2 linked regions of the Schizosaccharomyces pombe genome follow. Changing the gene in region 1 together with any one later gene gives a genetic interaction. Each region holds a gene or a part of one and is shown in the gene's direction. Other genes may lie near its edges.

What was found.
Region 2: mutations in azr1 (region 1) and sck1 together harm fitness more than expected from each alone (negative genetic interaction), as found in Schizosaccharomyces pombe (one large-scale study listed by BioGRID).

What each region holds. Positions count from the first base shown.
Region 1 is NC_003424.3:3,796,638-3,805,115, forward strand, and holds azr1 (mitochondrial protein phosphatase Azr1), read left to right. Parts: upstream 1-2,392; 5' UTR 2,393-2,606; coding exon 2,607-3,043; exon of another isoform or gene 3,044-3,093; coding exon 3,094-3,498; exon of another isoform or gene 3,499-3,546; coding exon 3,547-3,604; 3' UTR 3,605-3,675; coding exon of another isoform or gene 3,676-3,714; 3' UTR 3,715-3,755; coding exon of another isoform or gene 3,756-3,834; 3' UTR 3,835-3,897; coding exon of another isoform or gene 3,898-3,980; 3' UTR 3,981-4,048; coding exon of another isoform or gene 4,049-4,110; 3' UTR 4,111-4,162; coding exon of another isoform or gene 4,163-4,301; 3' UTR 4,302-4,610; coding exon of another isoform or gene 4,611-4,754; 3' UTR 4,755-4,804; coding exon of another isoform or gene 4,805-4,952; 3' UTR 4,953-4,996; coding exon of another isoform or gene 4,997-5,006; 3' UTR 5,007-5,046; downstream 5,047-8,478. Other genes in the region: succinate dehydrogenase Sdh1, read right to left, coding at 1-1,589, 1,711-1,809; cdd1 (cytidine deaminase Ccd1), read right to left, coding at 3,676-3,714, 3,756-3,834, 3,898-3,980, 4,049-4,110, 4,163-4,301; CGR1 family ribosome biogenesis protein, read right to left, coding at 4,611-4,754, 4,805-4,952, 4,997-5,006, 5,047-5,080; meu1 (protein meu1-1), read left to right, coding at 5,914-7,950, 8,024-8,317. UniProt on the Schizosaccharomyces pombe protein: Confers azacytidine resistance in high copy.
Region 2 is NC_003424.3:2,401,289-2,407,495, reverse strand, and holds sck1 (serine/threonine protein kinase S6K family Sck1), read left to right. Parts: upstream 1-2,792; 5' UTR 2,793-2,889; coding exon 2,890-3,129; exon of another isoform or gene 3,130-3,245; coding exon 3,246-3,936; intron 3,937-3,985; coding exon 3,986-4,952; exon of another isoform or gene 4,953-5,002; coding exon 5,003-5,195; 3' UTR 5,196-5,480; downstream 5,481-6,207. Other genes in the region: SPOM_SPAC1B9.03C (ribosome biogenesis protein), read right to left, coding at 1-630, 691-750, 809-832; nuclear import protein Nxt2, read left to right, coding at 5,924-5,930, 5,973-6,055, 6,125-6,196. UniProt on the Schizosaccharomyces pombe protein: Protein kinase that is part of growth control pathway which is at least partially redundant with the cAMP pathway. Required for trehalase activation.

The sequences.
Region 1 (8,478 bases):
CGTAATTCAAGGGCTTCAACAAGATCGGTGTTCCAGATTAAACCACGGTCCCTGATTCCAATATCCTTGTAAGTGCCGTCAACACGAGCAATGTTCTTAACACCTTCTTGAAGAGTTTCTTCCATACGGAAAACTGAGACATCACGTTGCATCGTCTTTTGCATATCCAAACGAATTTCACTGGTATGTTTAGGGCCTTGCGAAGTGCGAATTTGGTCCAAAAATTTTAGAGAATCCAATCCGGCATCAGCTGCAAGCGGTTTATGAGGGGTATTGGGTTCAAGCGTATCCTTAATATGTAAAGCACAGGCACGTCCAAAAACAACAATGTCCAGAAGAGAGTTGGCACCAAGACGGTTACCTCCATGGACAGATACACAAGCAGCTTCACCAGCAGCATACAATCCAGGAACAATCTTATCCTTCCCATTTTCGTCAATAGTGAGGACTTCACCGGTGAAACGGGTAGGAATACCACCCATATTGTAGTGAACTGTAGGTAAAACGGGGATAGGCTCTTTAGTAACATCTACACCAGCAAAGATAGCAGCAGTTTCGGAAATGCCAGGAAGACGCTCTTTCAAAATTTCAGCGGGGAGGTGAGAAAGCTGCAAATAACAATGATCCTTTTCAGGGCCAACACCACGGCCTTCACGAATTTCAACAGTCATAGCACGAGAAACGACATCACGAGAAGCCAAATCCTTAGCGGTAGGAGCATAGCGTTCCATAAAACGCTCACCCTTGCTGTTCAAAAGATAACCACCTTCACCACGGCAACCTTCAGTAATTAAACAACCAGCACCATAGATACCAGTAGGGTGAAATTGAACAAACTCGAGATCTTGTAGAGGAAGTCCAGCACGAGAAACCATGGCATTACCATCACCAGTACAGGTATGAGCTGAGGTGCAAGAGAAATAGGCACGTCCATAACCACCAGTAGCCAAAATAGTCTTGTGAGCACGGAATCTGTGAATACTACCGTCTTCCAAATTCATAGCAATGACACCACGACATTCACCACCTTCCATGATTAAATCCATTGCAAAATACTCAATAAAAAAGTTTGTGTTATGTTTAAGAGATTGCCCGTAAAGAGTGTGCAAGATAGAATGTCCAGTACGATCGGCAACAGCAGCACAGCGATATGCCTGTCCACCTTTACCATATTCAAGGGATTGACCGCCAAAAGCACGTTGATAAATCTTTCCCTCCTTCGTTCTTGAAAAAGGTACACCAAAATGTTCCAACTCCAAAACTGCTTTGGGTGCTTCTTTAGTCATGTAATGAATAGCATCTTGATCACCCAACCAATCTGATCCTTTGACAGTGTCATAGAAATGCCAGCGCCAGTCATCTTTTGTCATATTACCGAGTGCAGCGTTGATACCACCTTGGGCAGCGACAGTATGGGACCTCGTAGGAAAGAGCTTAGTAATACATGCAGTATTAAAGCCGGCTTCTGCCAAACCAAAAGTAGCACGAAGACCGGCACCTCCGGCACCTACAACGATAGCATCGTATGTATGGTCAATGACTGGATATTTAACGGATTCTGATGTTGAAACTTGCTTTGCTCTTAAAGGCTACATTGTTAGATTGTTTAGAAAACTGTTCATAGAGTAGAGAAACAAAGAAGGGTTGCTTAAAAATCATAAAATTTGCACCGCTTCCAAAAATAAGACGAGTCACTAAAAAAAAACATACCTGGCTTGAAGCTATTTTTTTTAAAGTTGAAGAAGTAGAAAATAGCTTCAGATTCCCTCCATTTTTTAGACTTGGAGCGACTTTTCGAAATCTGAGCATTATATGTGTTGGATGTGGTGGAAGGAGAAGCTTTGGTAATTGGGCATCTCTTAAGGAAGTACAGCATCGTTAAGTGCGGAAGTTTGAAATACCGCCCTTCTTATTCGTCAACTCCATAAGCGAAATCTAATCAATACTCTTCTATTTCCGTGTCTTTAACTTTAACTTACATTATTGGCTTAACCCACATCTCGGTTTAATGACACAAACTGCTTCAATACCATCATCATTCAGCTCGTTAAGAAAAGCAGTTTTAGTACTACTCGGTGAAAACCCAAGAACTACGTATAAAATATATTTTTACTATTGCTTTGTGCCTCCAAACTTTTCCGATAAAAATTAGCTAGCTAAATCTCGAGGACAAGACGCTTAGTTCTTCCAGAGTGTTAGTAAACAATTGTGCAAGTGCATTGAAGCAACAGTCAGTATTTTTTTTTGTTAATCTCAAACATTTATATCGTGAAATATTAATTAAACTGCTCCTAAGTTATGATTTATCAAGATGCTCCTCGCTCACTATTATACCGCATTACATGATAGTTTGGTAAATATATAAGGACTCTTGGAAGTTCAATAATAGTACAGGCACTTACTACAAACTCATCAATCATATCCCCACCGTTTATTTATATAATTAGATGGGTATACAAAACTAACATATCATACAATTCTCTTACTTTGAGTCTGATATCTGTTTTTGTAAGTCGTGTTCATACACACTTTATAAAGTGTTGAACAGAAAGCAATTGTTATAACTTCTTAGACAGGGTGATTAAAACAATTTCTATGATCCCTCAATGAATGTTACTCGTCTTTACTTTCGTGTCGCTGGAACAAAACAGTTCGCCCGATATGTGCACAAATATGCTGCATATTCCTCTACGAGCTTTCAAAAAAAGAAATCTCATTTCCCATCTCCTGCTACGCTCGATCACCCGGATGCCGGAGAAGACGCTTTTATAAATTTAAGGAATGAAAACTATATCTTAAATGCAGTATTTGACGGAGTTGGAGGCTGGGCGAATGTGGGGATTGATCCGTCAATATTTAGTTGGGGATTGGTTCGGGAAATAAAAAAAGTCTTTAACAATTCTGACGAATTCCAACCAAGTCCTCTCACTTTACTTTCCAAAGCATATGCAGCTTTGAAGAAAAGTAACACTGTTGAGGCTGGCTCAAGCACTGCTTGCCTTACATTGTTCAATTGCGGAAACGGTAAACTTCATTCATTAAAGTACGTTATTTGTTCATTGGTTCATAAATTCTTACTAACTTTATTTCAAGCCTTGGTGACTCAGGATTTCTTATCCTTAGAAATGGTGCTATCCATTATGCATCACCTGCCCAAGTACTCCAATTTAATATGCCATATCAATTGGCTATATATCCTAGGAACTATCGTTCCGCTGAAAACATTGGGCCTAAAATGGGACAAGCAACTGTGCACGACCTTAAAGACAATGACTTGGTAATTTTAGCTACCGATGGCATATTTGATAATATAGAGGAAAAGTCGATCTTAGACATCGCTGGCGTCGTTGATTTTAGCTCTCTTTCGAATGTTCAGAAATGCCTTGATGATTTGGCTATGCGCATTTGTAGGCAAGCAGTTTTGAATTCGTTGGATACGAAATGGGAATCTCCATTCGCAAAAACGGCAAAGAGTTTTGGTTTCAAGTTTCAAGGAGGGTACGATAAAATAATTTATATGTGAAAATATATTAACAAGCACATTAGGAAAGTGGATGATACTACCATTACATGTTTACTGATAAAGTCCAAAAATTATGAGTAAAATTAGTATCTTCTTCGAACGAAATACGCTTATATTGAATTACTTTAGTTCATTAAGGGTCCTTGAATCGTTCATTTCAAATCATCTGGACCAAAAGAGTCAGGAAGTAACTGCCAATCATGTTAATGACATTCAAGTAACGCTTGCATACCTCTTCTATCGTTTTCATATCATAACCCCCGTCGTCATGAAACATATAAACATTTATATCCTTCGAAAATTCACGAATTCTTAACAACGTTTTGTTAGTAAATTCAACGGAAGGATTTCTTTTTCCTTAACTGTCAACTTACACTTGACGACAAATACCACAGGGCGTAACTCTTCCCTTGGCACTCATCACTCCAATAGCCATAAATTTAGTGTAACCCATGCTCTTTTAAGGTTGATGTGAGTTATAATGGTCAAAGCGGTAGCAACTCTTCACGCGCAACTTAATCTTACCACTGCTTTTGTAATTGCTACTCGTTCGGCACAGATGCAATTGCCATATGATGCGTTTTCAACTGTTTGATACGTTAGATTTCATATTTTTTGAATTCGGTACAATCTTTTTACCATTAGCTCCATAAATATATGTATTTTTATCGTCGGATACTACGCATGCACCTACTGCGAAGTTGGAGTAGGGACAATATGAATATTGTAAACTCTTTTTTACTTCTTGAAATAACTTCTCAATATCTTCTTTTTCCATTTTTTGAGTGCGACTAGATTTATTTTGTGAAAAAAAAATAACTCCGATGCACAAAAAAATTGCAGAATATATATACAACCTACTAAAACGATATTATCTAGCAATGTTGGAAGAAATGTTGTGAGCTGAGCTCCCGGTATATCCTCGGGGCAACGAATACCAAAGCGTATCCACTATTCCGTTAACTACTATCATTATTTTTCTAATACAATGATGTTATTACGAGTTGAAGATTGAAACTGTAAAAGTGATCAATGTTATACCACTTCAAAAGAATATTATTTTTCCAATTATGTAACCGAATTCCATTCATCGCTCTTTCAACATTTTGTTACGCTTCTCTCTGCGTCGCCGACGATCTATCACCTTTTGGTGAAGTTTAGCTTGCAACAATTCCATTCGTTCACGGTCTGCTTTTGCTTGACGACGGGTACGGATTTTTTCGGCATGAGCCTTATGAATAATTAGTAATGGATATGATACTACTGATAAAGAATACTTACAGCACGCTGTTCTTCTTTCTCTCTTTTCAATTCCTTTTCACGCTCTTTAATCTCATCTAACTTCCGCTTTTGTTCCATACGCTTTTCATACGGAGTTCTTTGAGCATCAGCAAGGCCACTTCTGTTGTACGCCTTTTTCTCAGTTTTCCTAATTGTTTAATAAAAGCTTTCTCATACTGATAAAAAGCATACCATGGTTTTCCTAAAGAATTAGTACTTAATAAACTTGCTCAATTCCATACCTGAAACACATACACCCTTAGTTCCATTAACCATTGTGTATCTGGTTTTTGGTACAAAATTTCTTCTAAACCTCTATTGAACCATCGGTCAAACTCATTAAATTTGGTTAACGTAGTCTCGTTTTTACAGTCTAAATTATTTCAGTCAGTAAACTAATTCGGTTGTAAAATTGTCTTTTGTAAAGTGATAATCGCCTAATATTGAAAACCAAAGTTCTAAAAGATAGCAGTTTATCTTAACAAATGAAACGAAACTAGACATAATGACTCCTGCCAACGAGAGTGTTTTGGGGATTTTTTTTACAAAATTGTCTTGAGACAGCAAATCAAAGATACCTGAAATACTTAATACTATTTTTCATGCTAATTTTTGTTCTGTTTTCTACTCGAAATAAATATCCTCGGTAAAGTGTTTGGCAGTAGGAAAAAATACACCTTAAACTTTCTGAGGGGTTCTCATTGTTTTTTTTTTAATATTTTACTGATATTTCGATTAATCGAATTATGCGTGAACGAATACGTTTATTAACGGTTAAAATACCTGTTGGCGTATGATCATACACAATCGAATGTTTGTTGACACCTGCACATATTGAGGTGTTTGTTTATAAATCACAGGAGCATAAGCGAATGGATTTGTCACTTACCAAACAGTTCTAACATATTACCCTCAAGGAAAATTTTGCTTTAATTTACTTGTGTTGAATAATTTGGAATTTTTTTTAGAGCATAATCGCATAATACACAAAATCTCGATTAAGCATAAACTCCCAGAACGTTAACATATAACCGAATCTTCTAAACTCTTAGTATATGAGATATCAGAAATAATAAAGGAATTTCTTAAATAATATAAAGAAAAGAAATATGTCTATACCGGCTAACGTTCTGATGGAAATATCATTTCAGGAGCTGACATCTAAGAAGTCCGAAGAATATGAAAGAAAGAGACTCAACGAGATCGGGGATCTTCTTACACCTCAGAAAATAGAAGAAGTTTTGAACTGCAAAGATACTAAACAACGGAATGTTTCCCTAGAAGATATCTTCCAGGATTTCTTAAATTTTATAATTACGAAAAACCAGGAAATGTTTAGTATGGATTGCAATTCTATCTGCAAGTCATATGTCTTAAAGGTAGCAGAAGAAAAAATAGAAAAGCTCTTGAAGGAAAACGGGACTCTCAAAAATGAAGAAAAATGCTTGCGAATGCAAATTGTAGCGCAAGAAGAATATGTAGCCCCGTTGATTCAAAAGTTAGAAATCATTGAAAAAAAACTGGATAAATCGTTTAGAAAGAATATGGAAGATGAATTACGAATAACACGGTTGGCTTCAGAAAACAATGTATTAATTTCAAGGATTGACCGAACAAAGCGTCATTTTTCTGAGTTGTTCACTCAAAAACAAATGCTGCAACTTCAGAACGAGAATTTTAAAGACGACTATGAGAAGATAAAAGAAGAGAACAAAAGATTATATAAAGAAAGGAAAAGTTTTCTCTCCAAGATCGAAAAATCAGCGTGCGAAATTCATGATCTCAAGGAGTCTGATAGTTTCAAAGATCACGAAATATTAAGGCTGAAAGAGGAAAGGACTGCTGCTATGCAAGCAATAGATGATATTAGTGGAACAATTGAAACTATTAAGAGTGATTGTTATAAGGTTGAAAGTGAAAACAAAGGCTTAATCAATGAAGTTATGGATATGAGAAACTTTGTTCAACAGCTTGAACAAGAGTTGTATGCCTTTGAGGATGACTATAGCCGAATACAAAATGACGAAGAGTTATTGAAGGTTGGTATGATACATTTAAATAAATCCGAAAATCGTACCGTAGAAGAAATGAAGATTGGTGATTTTGGAAATACTGAAGAAGCAAAAGACGTTTGCGTTTCTGACGAAGATATACACAATGTTAACATAAAACAAATCACTACGTTAATTGGAAAGATGAGCCAAGTGCAAATAGAATGTAAAAGGTTAAGAAAGGAAAACCTCTTTTTACAGAGTGAAAGAACTCACCTACTCAGAGAATTAGAAGAATTACGACATTTGGCTACTTCTGCTAAAGAAGATTTTGTAAAAGTTGAAAAACTAAACAAAATCATTAAGGACGAAAACGAAAACCTCAAGGAATACATCCGAAACAACAGTCTTTCCTTTCAAGCCACTGCGGGTGAATTAACTCAGTGTAAGCAATTACCACAGCCTCGGATTACTGGTAACGATCAAGAAAATTCACACTACACAGGAGCAGGTAATAATTGCCTTGAATTAGTAGGAAAGGAAAACAATTGTAAAAACCAATATCCTCAATACTTCTCAAATATTGATGAATCCAACGCATTTATAAATAATCAGTGTCTTGAGTTAGAGGCTCTGAACAGGAAAAACGATTTAATTAGAGGAGAACTAGATTCACTCAAGGAGAAGAATCTCGTTGCCCAAAAGCAATTAAAGTCGGCTAACAACACGCTTCACGTTCGGGCTAAGCACATCCAAATACTCGAAAACACAAATCAATCTTTAAAAAAGAACCTGGAGAATGGAAGAGCAGAGTTTAGGTTGAAAGAAATTGCCCTTATTGATTTAGCTAACCAACAGATCAAAAACCAAGACAAGACGATTCACGATTTGAATACCGAGCTATGTAGCTTAACACTGGACTATTGCAATACCGCAGTGGAACGAGACACACTGCGCTTCCGTGCTTTAGAATATTTAGATCATAACAAACAAACAAACCCTCTGCCATACCACATTGTCTACATGTTTAGCTTCGAAACCTCGCCAACTGTTTTTCAAACTTCTCCTGAGGAGGATAAAGAGAACGTCAACAATATAAAAATTTCTCAACCGAGAAACTCATTGCAAACCAATGGATATATTGAAGGCATGGCTGTAAGTGTTGATTCATAAAGCAATATTTCAATAGGATTTCAAAGAATAAGAACTTAACCAAAACACAAACCAGAATAATGTTTTAGATGCCTCTTTTAATGTTGAAGACGAATCCCATGCCATTAGCGATAGTGAATTGGGCTATTTTTGCGAGGATCAATCAAATATTTACGAAGTTGAAGATATGCGTTATTATTTGTTTTACACTGAGGAGGAAAAAAATATGCTTCCCGGATTCATTGTAAATGCAAGACCGGCTAACTTAGATCTATTTCCTTGTTGTTATGAAACCACTGATAAGCGATCAAAGCATCTCAAAAACATGTTAAACAAAAAAAAGCTTATCAAGCATATCTTCCATTTATAATCTTGAAATGGTTAGTCCGCATAAAGATAACAGTTGAAGAAAGCATCTTGGAATTTAAGTACGCGTGGACTTGTGCTGCCAGACTAGAAATTATGGCTTTTGTCTGACTCTAATAAATCCAGGATGATTAAACATAAAAACCTTGACCCAAATTTCTACCA
Region 2 (6,207 bases), 1.4 Mb from region 1:
AACATAATCCGAAATATCACGAACATTGTGTAAATCAGGGATATCAGAGTCCTTTTTTTCACCTTTCAACAGATGTCTTATAGGGCGAGAAATACCCACAGGCTTCGTGCTAATTATGAAATGACGAAGGTCGATATAACCATCGTCGCGGCGGTTTAATAACAGAACCCGTTTAACACTATTAATGTTGGTATGTTGGACTGAAATTGGAGGAAACATATTTTGAAATGTAGTCGTTAGCAAAGCTTCATGGGGAGAGTCTTTTGACGAATTTTGATTAAAATGATTCATGACCAAAAGTGGAGGAGTAAGGAACTCTGTTGTTGGAGATTTAGGATTTTTTTGAAGTCTTCGAACATCTTTGTTCAGCATATACTCATGAATCCTAAAATGTAATGAGGGACCTCTAGGAGCCCTAATGATTCTCAAGTTCGCATTGTTGTCAGTGCGAGAGAGGACAAGAAGATGTGTAACTCCAAGAGGTCCAGCCATAGTCAAGTAATCTTTTATTTTATTAGCTTTACGCTCCTTTAATCGAATAGCTGTATGTGGTTCCATCATATGTCGAAGATCTCGAGTAAGCAAAGATAAGCTTCTACCTACTTCAGAAGCGCCCGATCGAATTACCATCTTAAATAAGAATTAGCAAAGGGACTAAAAAATTTTACAATTTTACAAAATTGCACATACCGATTTAGGAATTGCTGCTTCTTGTATAGGATCAGCTTTCAAATGCGTCCTCTTTTTTACCTATAATTAAATTAGTTTAAATAAAGTATTTCTTTTAAACTATCCATTCTCAACATACCCGTTTTTTACCAATGCCTCCCATTCTTTGTGGTTGGTAGTTAAAAAAAATTGTACACTCTCAAGAACACCAATATGCAAAGTTCATTTCCGCCAACATGACAATAAAGATGGCAATAGACATTATTTTTTTGAAAGCTGAATTTTCTATTTTAACATATCTCATTTACATGCTGTGAACATAATTTGAGCGAGAAATTTTTTATACTAGTATAGTTAATAATAATGTTATGGGCCTAGAAGTAAAAAAAGAAAAAAACACGTGAAATTGAGAATAATGACCGTACTACGAAATTATGAAAAATCTTTTATAAACACTTATTTAATCAATAATTTTTTGGAAGTAACTGATTGTATACAAAATGATGAACTTCTAAAATATACCGGTTTATTTGTCGGGCGTAAATCTATTGTTTGTACACTGACTTTGGATGATGCATATCATTAATGTAATTGTAGCTGATATCTCTTGACTTTTGTTTTGGAAATTAAACTATTTTGTATTGATAAATTAACGTAGAAAAGCACCACGATAACCTGAACCTCGCCTCAGCAGCTGTTTGTTTAACCTATGCGGAAGACCCCCACATGGTCCTTATTATCGGTTTTATGCCTAACACTAGCAGCTTAGCAGTGGTTATTAAAATGAAAGCCCCCACAAAGTACTAAGATGGGTTTGCTAGTACGGCTAATCAAGGTTGCGTAGCAACGTTTGTCAGAGGAACGAAAAGTGGTACTTTGAATGTCATTAATTTAACCGATGATTTTCTTATTTTGTTTGTAATTTCTGATGGTCTTTTACGATATTTAATTTGAAATACTGTGCTATGAAAAAAAATAATAATAAACAATAGCAGTGAACTATGACAAACTAGCTCTTATTATATAAATTACTATACAAAGTTATCTTTTTACATGAAATTTTATTTCTCGTTTTTTTTAATCATTTTCCTTTTAAATCTTTTTTTTGGGGAGGGAATTAACAGTTTAAAAAAATTTTTAACAAGGGTTATTTTTTTGGCTCCATTTTAATTAATTGTACTCTGTAAATAAAAGATTTAATAAACTCAAGGAATATAATTGACCACAGTAATGAGTATAGAGAGACTTAAATAAAAAAAAATTAAAATTAAAATTAAATCAGCCGAAATACAAAAATCCCGAGTATTTTGCATCAAACGCATATCAGAAACCATGAGAAGCAAATAACAATTAGAAATTGTGCCCAAATTTGCTAATGTATGTCAGTAAGTTACAATTTTAATTGACCAGTGGACATCCTACTAAAGCTCATTCATTCAAACACTACAATTGATTTATTAAAGAAAAAGAAACTTTTCTGGTAAATTTAGTATGACCTTTGGTTAAGGCATCAGCCAACGCATTAAAAATTATTTGATAAATGTTTATAAAAAAAGAGTGTAGCATTTTTCGGTACTATCTAGGTATTCCTCGAAACTAAACAGTCGAAAATCTCATAGCTTGAGCTCTCCGAAATTACGTTGTAATGTGCTTTAATTTCTTTTGTATATGTAGGCTAAAATAAATATACATGAAGTTTCTACTAAGCCATTCGGAGAACTCTGTTTCGATACTCCTTCGTTGGACAAACCTTTGAAAATCACAAGACATTTCTGAGTCAACAGCGTATTAATTGCTCGATAAATTTCTTTTTCTGCTTTTAGAATAAGTGCATAATAATAAAATACACTGCAAAGGAATTTTTCAAATGTTTAGGGTTATACATCCCCCTTACCTGAATCCCTTAAGAAATAGATAAATGGAAGTGCGGCGCCCCTCTGATATTATAACCATTTAAAATTATACATCTATATAATCATAGTAAAATACGAATTAGTGTTCGAAAAATACTGGATTTTCTATCCGTTCGCTAAGATATCGTACTCCCGGATGTTACCACACTTTTCGATTAAGGGAATTGCGAAGGTTACATATGCGAAACACCTGCTGGTCGAACCAACTTTAAACACCACACCCTATTATTAGTAACACCAGACGAGGAATCCGATTCCATTAAAAGAGTATTAAAAGATTCTTGATTGATCATTGCTTTTGCTGAAAATGACCGAAATTTTCGGTAAATTGCATCGATCATCAAATTCTGAGAATACAAATCAAGCATCGCCATCCACAATACAATCGCATTCAACGCAACCGGTTCTTTCCAATGACCATTCTACGAAAGTAAACGATTACGAAGGGAAAGAGGGTGCTTCGTCTAATGGCTATGATCCCGTTTTCATGTCGGATCGGATGAAGATGCGTTACAATGAGATTACAGCTCAGCTTCACAAAGAACAGGTATGTTATAATTGATTTTTTGCTTGAAAGACAATCTTCCCCATAGCTTTCTTTATTGTGTTTTTCAAAAATCACTGTCTCCATAAATTGTTGTTCACTTGGCTAACCTATCATAGTCCTTAAAGGAAGATAAAGAATCTGGTTCTAATAGTTCCGAAAGCAATGGAATTACACCAATGGGTACATATTCAGAAAAACCCAAACTACTACAGAGTCGTACACCTCCATCTTCGTGTTACATTAGGCATGATACCGTTGTGCCAAAAGATAAAAATGGTCAGCATGCTTTTGGACGGCTTTATGTTCGATTACATCAAGGTAGAGATTTGAACGTCAAAAGTGTTAATGCACAACCTTATGCAGTAATCACCTTTGAAAAAACGCAGGTTATGGTACCTCCTCCTTTTAAAGACATTGACGGTGGGATACCCATTTCCATTCCTTCTAAAAACCGTCCTCTTGCTGGATCTGCTTCCGGTTCTTCTTCTGGACTACATTCTGAGCTAATGTTGGCTGATGTGCGTTGTCCTCATTGGGATTTTGAAACTGTATTTGATGTGACAAAAATGAAAAGTCAAATGGTTGTATCTGTATATGACAAATATGAAGACGATAAATTTTTGGGCTCCGTTAAAATTACACCAATTTTCCTACATGAATATGTGCAGGAAGCATGGTATAAGCTTGAGCCTCTTGACTTAACTAAGTCTCTGGAGGGTGAAATAAAAGTGGAAACAATTTACGAGCACATTGAACATGTTCGTTATGGGCCAGAAGATTTTACGGCCCTTCGTTTAATCGGAAAAGGTAAAGCTGCTTTAAGCTAAAAAATTTACGGTATACTAACTTTATTTAGGCACTTTTGGGCAAGTTTATTTGGTCCGTAAAAACGATACCAATCGGATTTATGCTATGAAAAAGATATCCAAAAAATTAATTGTTCGTAAAAAAGAGGTTACACATACCTTGGGCGAAAGGAATATACTTGTCAGGACTTCATTAGACGAATCTCCGTTTATTGTTGGTTTAAAGTTTTCCTTTCAGACCGCTTCAGATCTTTATTTGATAACTGATTATATGAGTGGAGGCGAACTTTTCTGGCATCTTCAACATGAAGGTCGCTTTCCTGAGCAAAGAGCTAAATTTTATATAGCCGAACTTGTTTTGGCTCTTGAACATTTGCATAAACATGATATTATTTACCGAGATTTAAAGCCTGAAAACATACTATTAGATGCAGATGGTCATATTGCTCTTTGCGATTTTGGTTTGTCTAAGGCAAACCTTTCAGCTAACGCAACTACTAATACCTTTTGTGGAACCACCGAATATTTGGCACCTGAAGTTTTACTTGAGGACAAGGGGTATACTAAACAGGTCGATTTCTGGTCTTTAGGAGTCCTTGTCTTTGAGATGTGCTGCGGATGGAGCCCCTTTTATGCTCCAGACGTCCAACAAATGTATCGTAATATTGCCTTTGGAAAGGTCCGTTTTCCAAAAGGAGTTCTTTCATCAGAGGGTCGAAGCTTTGTTCGAGGCCTTTTAAATCGCAATCCAAATCATCGTTTAGGAGCAGTTGCTGACACTACTGAATTAAAAGAGCATCCTTTTTTTGCAGACATAAATTGGGACCTACTTAGCAAGAAGAAGGTTCAGCCGCCTTTTAAACCGAATGTTCAAAATGATCTGGATGTTTCCAATTTTGATAAAGAGTTTACCAATACTAATGTGAAAAATATCAATATAGTTTCCAATGTTGATCCCGCTAATGCCTCGACACCTCTATCCAACACGATTCAGGACAGATTTCGTGGTTTCACTTTGTAAGTTTATTTTTAAATATTTGACCATCAACTAACCTTAAACTTTATAGTGTCAATAAGTCCATTGATGAACAGTTTCAGAACCTGGGACTACAAGAAAACGAAGAGACAGATAATTTACATGCGTGTCGCACAACAACCCATTCATCGGTTAATTCAATAAATTCACATGGGAATCCACGTACGGTGGATGCTAACGATCCCGTCGCAGATACTGTGTTCGGCGAGACGTTCGAAGCTTGATAAGCTTGCTCCAATCAAAAAATTTGTCTCCTATTATCCACAATAGAAGATAACTTATTATGTATTATGTTCCCCTTTCGTTATAGTTATTTTGTCTCTCAAAGGCTTCGCTCCGTGTTTTCTAGTTTACCCAGGAATTAAAGCAAACTGTGGGTGTTTTGCTTTTGTTTCCTTCTATCCTTTATTATTTGTTACGTTCTATTTTGTAGTCATCTTCATATTTTATTATGTGAACATTTAATAGATTAAGTTTTACATTTTTATCCCAACTCAAATACTTGTTGCTTTCTTTTAATTATGATTGAAGGTGCATTAATTATGCAAAATGTGAAATACATCGTTATAAAAAAGAATGTAGCATTTAATAAGCAATCTTCACAATCAAGTAAATATTATGTTCCATTTCGTTCATGATACTAGTTAGACGCTAGCACCATATTTTTTCTCATAAATTTTGTCTCAATAGGAACGGATAAACATCTATCCTGTTGTTTGCATGAAGTAAAACCCCTTCAAATCTTATTGCAAATTCGTTTTTCTACCATTGCCAATACTATTCGAATAGAGGACTTTTGCCAAATAACACAACTATAAGTTTATCATGTTATTTTACATATTAAGAGTTGTATCATTTTACGTTAAATTACTTAAGGTGTCTGTACGATCTTTTTTGACGCGATTTTTCGAACTTGAAATAATAGGTCTACCTTTTACCACCATCTTTCATTATGGCTGGTAAGATAAAAATTTGTATGATTTATTGCTAATACTCTGCAGACTATAATGCTTTGGCGACCCAGTTCACTCAATTTTACTACCAAACTTTCGATTCCGATCGTTCTCAACTTTCTTCACTATACGTATGCGACTTCTAATTATGAAATTAATCCTACGTGTATTTATCTGGGCAGCTAACTTATATATATTAGAGAGAAGAGTCGATGCTGAGTTTTGAGGGAGCCCAACTCCAAGGAACTAAAGCCATTGTGGAAAAACTTGTTGTATGATAATA